Cricetulus griseus: one gene and its partner. The protein of the gene in region 2 interacts with the protein of the main gene of each other region in a biochemical or structural test. Links are inferred from orthologs where the notes say so. Each region holds a gene or a part of one and is shown on either strand. Other genes may lie near its edges.

What was found.
Region 1: the proteins of Pstpip1 (region 2) and Ptpn18 form a complex in vitro, tested with the Homo sapiens proteins (2 studies listed by BioGRID and IntAct). The link is inferred for Cricetulus griseus from reciprocal best matches to the Homo sapiens genes PSTPIP1 and PTPN18.

What each region holds. Positions count from the first base shown.
Region 1 is NW_023276807.1:13,569,882-13,573,707, reverse strand, and holds the start of Ptpn18 (tyrosine-protein phosphatase non-receptor type 18), read left to right. Parts: upstream 1-899; 5' UTR 900-1,029; coding exon 1,030-1,122; intron 1,123-3,826. UniProt on the Homo sapiens protein: Differentially dephosphorylate autophosphorylated tyrosine kinases which are known to be overexpressed in tumor tissues.
Region 2 is NC_048597.1:167,635,323-167,639,144, reverse strand, and holds part of Pstpip1 (proline-serine-threonine phosphatase-interacting protein 1), read right to left. Parts: intron 3,470-3,822; coding exon 3,371-3,469; intron 2,653-3,370; coding exon 2,556-2,652; intron 1,875-2,555; coding exon 1,784-1,874; intron 1,079-1,783; coding exon of another isoform or gene 1,049-1,078; coding exon 993-1,048; intron 769-992; coding exon 635-768; intron 1-634. UniProt on the Homo sapiens protein: Involved in regulation of the actin cytoskeleton. May regulate WAS actin-bundling activity. Bridges the interaction between ABL1 and PTPN18 leading to ABL1 dephosphorylation.

The DNA of each region.
Region 1 (3,826 bases), on a different chromosome or scaffold from region 2:
AATTTTCTCCTTCCACCATATGGGTACTAGGTACCAAACTCAGGTCATCATGCATGGTGACAAGTGCCTTTACCCACTGAACTATCTCACCAATCCCCATCGTTAAAAAACAAAACAAAACAAACAAACACAAAAAAAGCCCACTCCTTTTCTCCCCTTATGACACAGGGTTTCGCGCATCACAACCTATCTTTGAGCTCATAGTGTAAGCGAGGGTGACCTTGAATTTCTGGTTCTCTTGCCTCCACCTTTTGGATTCTGGGACTTATGGGGTGCTGGAAACGAACCCCAGAGCTTCCTTCATGCTAGGCAGACACTCTACCAAGTCAGCTACAACCTTAGAGCGGCCCCCTTCCCAGGATCCCAGGAGCTTTAGCAGCTGTGGGTGTTGTCTTCTAGTGTTGAGATCTGTTTTTTCCGTGAACTCTTTTCCAGTTCTCTTCTTCCTAGAAGGGTGTGGGTTAAGAGCTTCATGTTGGGACTAGATCATGATGTCCCCGCTTTGCCAGCAGGTTCCATAGAGAAAAAAAAAAAAAAAAAAAAAAAAAAAAAAAAACAGGCGCAGCTGTGGATGTTCGCGAGCTGCAGGCTGAGTGGCCTCACTACTCATTTGCACCAGTGAGGTGCTGGATTCACCTCACTACTTAGGAACCTGGCCTGCGACTTTAAGAGCGCAGCCATCCACCGGGAAAGGGGCGTGGAGGTGAGCCCGATCTAGGAACTGGTTCAAGCGGGTCCGAGCGTTCCGGGAGGACTCCACCGCTCCTGCATAGCAGTCTAGGCACCTGAGGCGCCATCGGGGAATTGCGGGTGGGACAGCCGCAGGACTTCCACTTCTACACCAGCCTCCGCCCGAGCCTGTGGGCATGGCAAAGCAGAATGAATTCCTAATGCGATTGGCTGGGGGGCGTAACCTTCCCGCCAATACCAGTCTTCATTGGCTGCTGGAACCGAGGCCCCGTCCCGCACTGTCTAAACTCTTGGGGGGTCCGACAGCCGCGTGCACAGACCTCGCAGGCGGGTCGCAGCATGAGTCGCCACTTGGACCTGGTGCGGAGTTTCCTGGAGCAGCTGGAGGCCCGGGACCTCCGGGAGGAAGCAATCCTTGCCCGCGAGTTCAGCGTGAGTGACACTCCAGAGATCAAGCTTCGCAGCCAGGCTGTCCCCACCGCTGTCCACCTGTGCAATGTGAAAGCTCTGCCTGTTTCTCTCGGTTCCCGGGACGTCTCCTGCCTCCGGTTCTCTGGTTTCCTCTCCCAGCACCTCTGTCGCGCTCTCACACTCTCTCTGCCTTTCTCTCTCTGCCCTCAGGTGCCCCGAGGGTGAAGTACACGGCTGCCTGGGAGGCATGGGACACACTCAGGCGTCTGTGTAGCGCTCCCGGAGCGACCCTTCTCCCTAGCAGAGCGGTGGCTGCTGCTGGGAAGGGAGGCAGCACACCTGCGCTGGACTCCAGTCCCCCACCCGGGCCACTCCTGGGTCACCTTGTAATCCCTGGGAGGAAGTGGTTTGGGGCAGCAGAAAGAGGAACAGGGAAGCTTTGTCGTTTAGCCTTTGAACTCCGGAGTTTCCAGTTTCAAGTCTATGCCCAGGGCCTTTCAGAACTGTGACCATGGGAAGTCTGGTCTCAAGTTCCAACTGTTTTGAAAATATGAATGTTAAAAGCCAAGTTGGTCTAAGAAATTAGCACATACTGGGTACTCACTGGTTAGGTGCCTTTAACACGGCTTACAAAAACTGCATCAGGCATTGCCAATCAAACCCGTGAGAGGGACTACCACTTAGTAGGCATGGCATACAATAGGTAATGAAGAATTTTAAATGTGGTGGCATACAATAAACAATGAAGAATTTTAAATGTGGTGACATGATCCAAATATGTAAACATGCTGTATCATACTTAGAAATATGCAGTATAAATATATAAAAACAAATGCGACATTAAATGACCACTTACAGCCTAGCATGGTGGCACATGCCTATAATTCCAGCAATTGGTAGCCTAAAGCAGGAGGATCACAGTGTGTTCGAGGCCAGCCTGAGCTACATAATTTGAGGCCACTCTGAAATACAGTGTGAGATTGTCTCAAAGAAAGAAAAAGATAGTTTACACAAAGACCATTATGTAACCCGATGACAATATAACACTGTGGTAGCCCACACATTTAATCCCAGTACTCAAGAGGCAGGGGCAGGCAGTTCTTTGTAAATTTGAGGTCAGCCTGGTTTACTTGGATTGCTCCAGGATAGCCAGGGCTATATTAAAAACCTTGTCTCAAAAAGCCAAAAAGCAAACAAACAAACAAAAAACAAAAAACAAAAAACAAAACAAACAAAAAACAAACCAAATAAACCAATGACAATACCATAATAATACAACAAACATCAATAACCGAACTTATTAAGTTTGCAAGTAAAATACAGAACAAAAAATATAAATTGAATGTGAATCTAAATAATTTACACATGTAAATATTATAACATAAGAAATATGTATTACATATATATACATACATATATATATGTATATATATATATATATATATATATATATATATATATATATAGCATTGGGTGTCCTGAAACTCAATCTATAGACCAGGCTGGCCTCAAACTCACAGAGATCTGCCTGCTTCTGCCTCCTGAGCTGGGATTAAAGATGTGTGCCATCACCACCAGACCTAAAATATAGAATTTATAAACAAGAAAATGTGTATAAATATGCATGTGGTATAACTTTCAGGTTGATGAAGAAAGCAGTTCTGAGGGCTCCATGCGGAATCTTGCACACACTCATGCACTCACTCACTCACTCACTCACTCACTCATGCACTCACTCATGCACTCACTCATGCACTCACTCACTCATGCACTCACTCACTCACTCATGCACTCACTCATGCACTCACTCACTCATGCACTCACTCACTCATGCACTTACTCACTCATGCACTCACTCACTCATGCACTCACTCACTCATACACTCACTCACTCATGCACTCACTCATGCACTCACTCACTCATGCACTCACTCTCATGCACTCACTCACTCACGCACTTACTCACTCATGCACTCACTCATGCACTCACTCACTCATGCACTCACTCACTCATACACTCACTCACTCATGCACTCACTCACTCATGCACTCACTCACTCATACACTCACTCATGCACTCACTCACTCATGCACTCACTCACTCATACACTCACTCATGCACTCACTCACTCATGCACTTACTCACTCATGCACTCACTCATGCACTCACTCACTCATGCACTTACTCACTCATGCACTCATGCACTAACTCACTGAGTACCTATAGAATCTTCTTATAAGTTATATATTATAACTCATATATATGATATATTGTCATGTTGTATCTTATATAAGGCTTTTATTTTTAAATCTACCCATTAAGCCATCTCCCTCACCCCAGTTTCATTTGTTTGGGGATGGAGATCTTTTGCGTACCACAGCACCTATGTAGACGTCAGAGAACAAGTTTCTGGTGTTGCTTCTCACTCCTTATTATGGTGTGGGATCTGGGGATTGAGTACAAATCTTCAGGCCTGAACGCCAAGTGCTTTTACCCACTGAGAAAACTTTTGGGTCCAGATAATGCGCATTTTATTACTTATGATACAGTATAATGTGGATTGAGTGTGCAGGTCTGGAGGGCAAGCTCTTTGTGGGACCTTTGGCAAGTTGCTCAACCGCTTCCTACATCAGCTTTCATCTGCAAAATGGGGACAGTGGAGAGTTTCCACTTAGGAAGACCGAATCACCCAGCACGGGGCACGTTTTGCACTTACTGTTGCTG
Region 2 (3,822 bases):
CACTCCACCTTGGCAATCCACGCATGTTGGGCTCCCAGGGTGAATAGTCTGCTGAGTCATGCTCAGGCCTCTAGGGTAGTTCCTTTGGAGACAGACAGGCTGTGAGGTTCCCCGAGAGACTTGGCCTCCTAACTTGCTCAGGTTGTCATGGAGACCTCCTATCCTGGGCTTTTCTCACTGCTCCAACCACTGCAGCATCTCAAAGGCATTTGTCACACCCCAAGAGCAAGCTCTCTTAGACTTAACTATGCAGCCATCTACTGTCACCTGAGTACCCCATTACTCCACAGGCCTGAATCCCTGAATGTGACCTCGGTTAGTGCAGCCCACGTCCAGCCTGCATGCCTTCCAGGTCTTCACCCTCACTTCAGCCACTGCTCGAGTTGGAATCCATCTCAGCAGTCGTTCTGTGGCTGCCCTGATCGCCTTTCTCCAAGGATGTCAGTTCCAGGGCCTCATTTTGGCCATTGTGGGTCTCTGGGTCCACAGCAGCCCTGAGCTGTCAGCCTTATGGTCTCCATGCGTGCAGATTTGTGCAGCTAGCAGCCCAGCAGATGTTCACTAAACTCTGGTGCTGGTCTAAGTGCTCATGCCTAGGCATGGGTACCCTCTAGCCAAAGGGCAAATGCCTCACCTGTGCTGTGTAGTCATAGAGCGCCCGGTAGTTCTGGGCTGATGTGTCATGGTTCCCCTGTGTTGCCTGCACGTCGATGGCTGCATAGACCAACTCTTTGTGCTCAGGAGTAGGAGCCAGAGAATCTGTGGAAGCTGAGAGCAAGATGAGACTGGAATTAGCCCCCTCCCTGAGGACAGTGGTCCCTGGAGACTGCTGGGGGCGGGCTTGATCCCAACGCCATTCCCGCTCTTGGACAGTATACCTTTCCCTTTGGGGTGTTAATGCTCCACCTATGCTGCTATGTAGGAGTTCTCTCCTCCTCTGGAGTCTTAGGTGACATGTCCCCTGTCCCATTATCCCCTCCCCCCTCATTTACCAGCAGGTAGTTGAGAAGATGTGATCTTGGGACTTCCATGCAGCAGCCCAGAGAACCTGGAGGAAGAGGGGAAGGCCTGGCGGAACCTCATGGGAAGCAGAGGGACTTGTTGAAATTCTCAGCACTCAGGGACCTCTGCCAGCCTGTGGCCACATCTCCGGGCCACCCCACAGGCCATTTCTGGCAGTGCCTTCATCCTCAGCACCCCCCTCCCATACACTCCTGGTCATCTCAGCACCTGCAACCAGCAGGGCCCTAACCCCGGGAGAGACACGACATACACACCCCCACCCTGCCCTGCATGGGAAGAAGCTGCGCTTAAAGTTCTTCTCCCACACATTTTACCAGGCCCAGCCAGTTTGAACCAAGCAAGTCTTCCTTCCTTTGGCCCATGGTGACTAGACCCGGTCACTCACAGGGCACAAAACAAGGATCCTGGCACCTGATGACAACCAGGCTAAGGAGGTGGCCCTGTAAAAACCTGGTGAATTCTCCAAATGCCTGGGCTCTGGGCCACTTTTAAACCACCTGGAGAGTGCCATCATTGCTGCCTGACAGTTAAGACACTATATCCCCCCTCACGGTGAGGCCAAGGGAGCCAGATGAGGCACTTGCCCAGGTCTCAGCATAGCCACTGGTCAGTAATTGCAATGTGAGTGATTAGTACTTGGTTCCTCTTGGACTGAGGGCTCCCTGAGGGTAGTTTGATCATGGGATATCTCCGTGGAGTACCCTGTACCTGGACAGGGCACCAGACCTACAGGGAGCTGTTCAGTCCATCCGTGTCTCACCTCTTTATCACACCACAGGATGGCTGGACACTAGGGCTGCAAATTAGTGGGGTGACTTCCCGGTCATAGTAATTCTGATACGGCACCGGAGCTGAAGAGAGAAAATGCACAAGGCCTAGAGTAGCGCGGCCTGCGGACTGTACCTGGCCCCACTTACCCCTTATGGCTCTGGACCAGAATTTTTTTTGTTGTTTTGGTTTTTTGAGACAGGGTCCCTCTATGTAACTCAGGTTGACCTCAAATTCACAGAGATCCACCTGCCTCTGCCTCTGCCTCCCAAGCGTCGGGATTAAAGGCATATTTCACTATGCCAGGCTTTTGTTTTTAAAGATTTTTGTTAATTTTAATTATGTGTAGATGTGTATGCATTCATGTGGAAGCCAGAGGTGTGGATTCCCTGGAGCTGCCGTCGTGAGTTGCCTGATGTGGATGCTGAACTGAATGGCTCCTCTGCAAGAGCAGCAGACGCTCTTAGCCACTGAGCTGTCTCTCCAGCCCAGAATTCTGCATTTGTGATTTTATACAACAGGTCGGGATTGGTGCAGACCGTTCTACTGTGACCTCCTTAAAATTTCCCATCCTCCTCTCTTGCTCCTGAGAACACTAGAGCACTCAGCTCTGTTCCTTTTAAACCTTAAGGGAAATAAGCCAAGAGCCCAGTCCCAGAATGTACTGTCCCCCAGCCTACGTGTGGTCAACTGAACTCAATCGGGAAGTGTGGGCTAGCCAGGCCTGGCTCCGGGAGCTAAGCCGCCCACAGGCTGGGTCTTACCTGGGGGCTCTCTGCCAGTGCTCTTGGACTGGATGAAGCCATTGATGTCACCGTCCACATTACAGCCTTCAAGTGTCAGCCGTACCTCTTCATAGAGCTGTGGGTAGGGAATGAACAAAGGCTGTGTCCAGGCTTCACCCCAATATCTGCCCTTGCCAGTCACCTTGATACCTAGTCTTGCTATATAATTCAGGCTCAGTGCTGGGATGTCAGGCCTGCCAGAGAAATTAGTGACCTGACTGATGTTCCGAAGTTTCCTGAACACCAAGCTCAGAGTCCCGGGAAGAGGCCCGGCTCACTGTAGTCCTCTGAGGCCCAAGGTATAACCTGTTTTAAGATGGGAGAACGCACGAAAAGGGAAGTGGCATGCCAGGGTATCAGAGCCCACACCTGTTGCTACCACTAGGATCAGGTGGCTCATAGGCAGGAGTGGTCAAGAGCTGCCCTGGTGTAGGTGGTAGCCCCCTGGCCAGCCCTGAGTGTTGGGCTCTGTAAGGTGACAGAGACCCTGAAGGAGCTACGGGGAAGGAGTGTGAGAGAACCTAGACCAGGTTCCCACCAGCCCCTCCAGCCCTCAGCAAGTCTCTGCTGTGTTGCCGAGAGTGGATGGACACAGCCCTGAAGGGGCAGGTGCCCTGAGTGTAGGAGCAGGGAGGAGAAGCAGATGCAGGGAACCACAGGAGTACAATGTTCAAGGTTTGGAGAGTAGGCCAGGGGCCCTGTCAGACTCATGTGAACCGCAGAGGTCTGGGGAGATGCTGGCAGGGCCCCAGAAGACCCGAGCTCACCAAGATGCCCTCTCCCAGCCCACACACCTCATCATCCTTGACACATTGCATGGAGAGCTGGTTACAGTGCACCCACAGGGCATTTCGGAGGATGGTCAGTCGGTCAAACTCCTGCAGCTGGAAGGCCTGTAGGGGAGGAAAGAGGATTGTGGGGCCAGCGCCACCACAGCTCAGCTAGGAGACCAGTACAGACCACTTTGCTGCAGTCAAGTCTAGCAAAGACAACCCTGTAGGTCCCCTGTGCTCGAGAGGAGGCTGGGGGAGCCTAGTGAGAGGCACAGGACTCTCCTGGTTCTGTCCATCAGTAGGGTGTAGGGTGGGCTTTGAGCCCAGTGTAGGCTTATGAAGAATAAATCCCTGCAGGAAAGGGATCCAGGGCACAGGCCAGATAGTGTTGGGGACAGACCCTAGGCACCAGCCAAGCAGATGATTTATAAGTGGAATGAAAGAGTACTGTCATTCCAGCCCCAGCTTCCCAC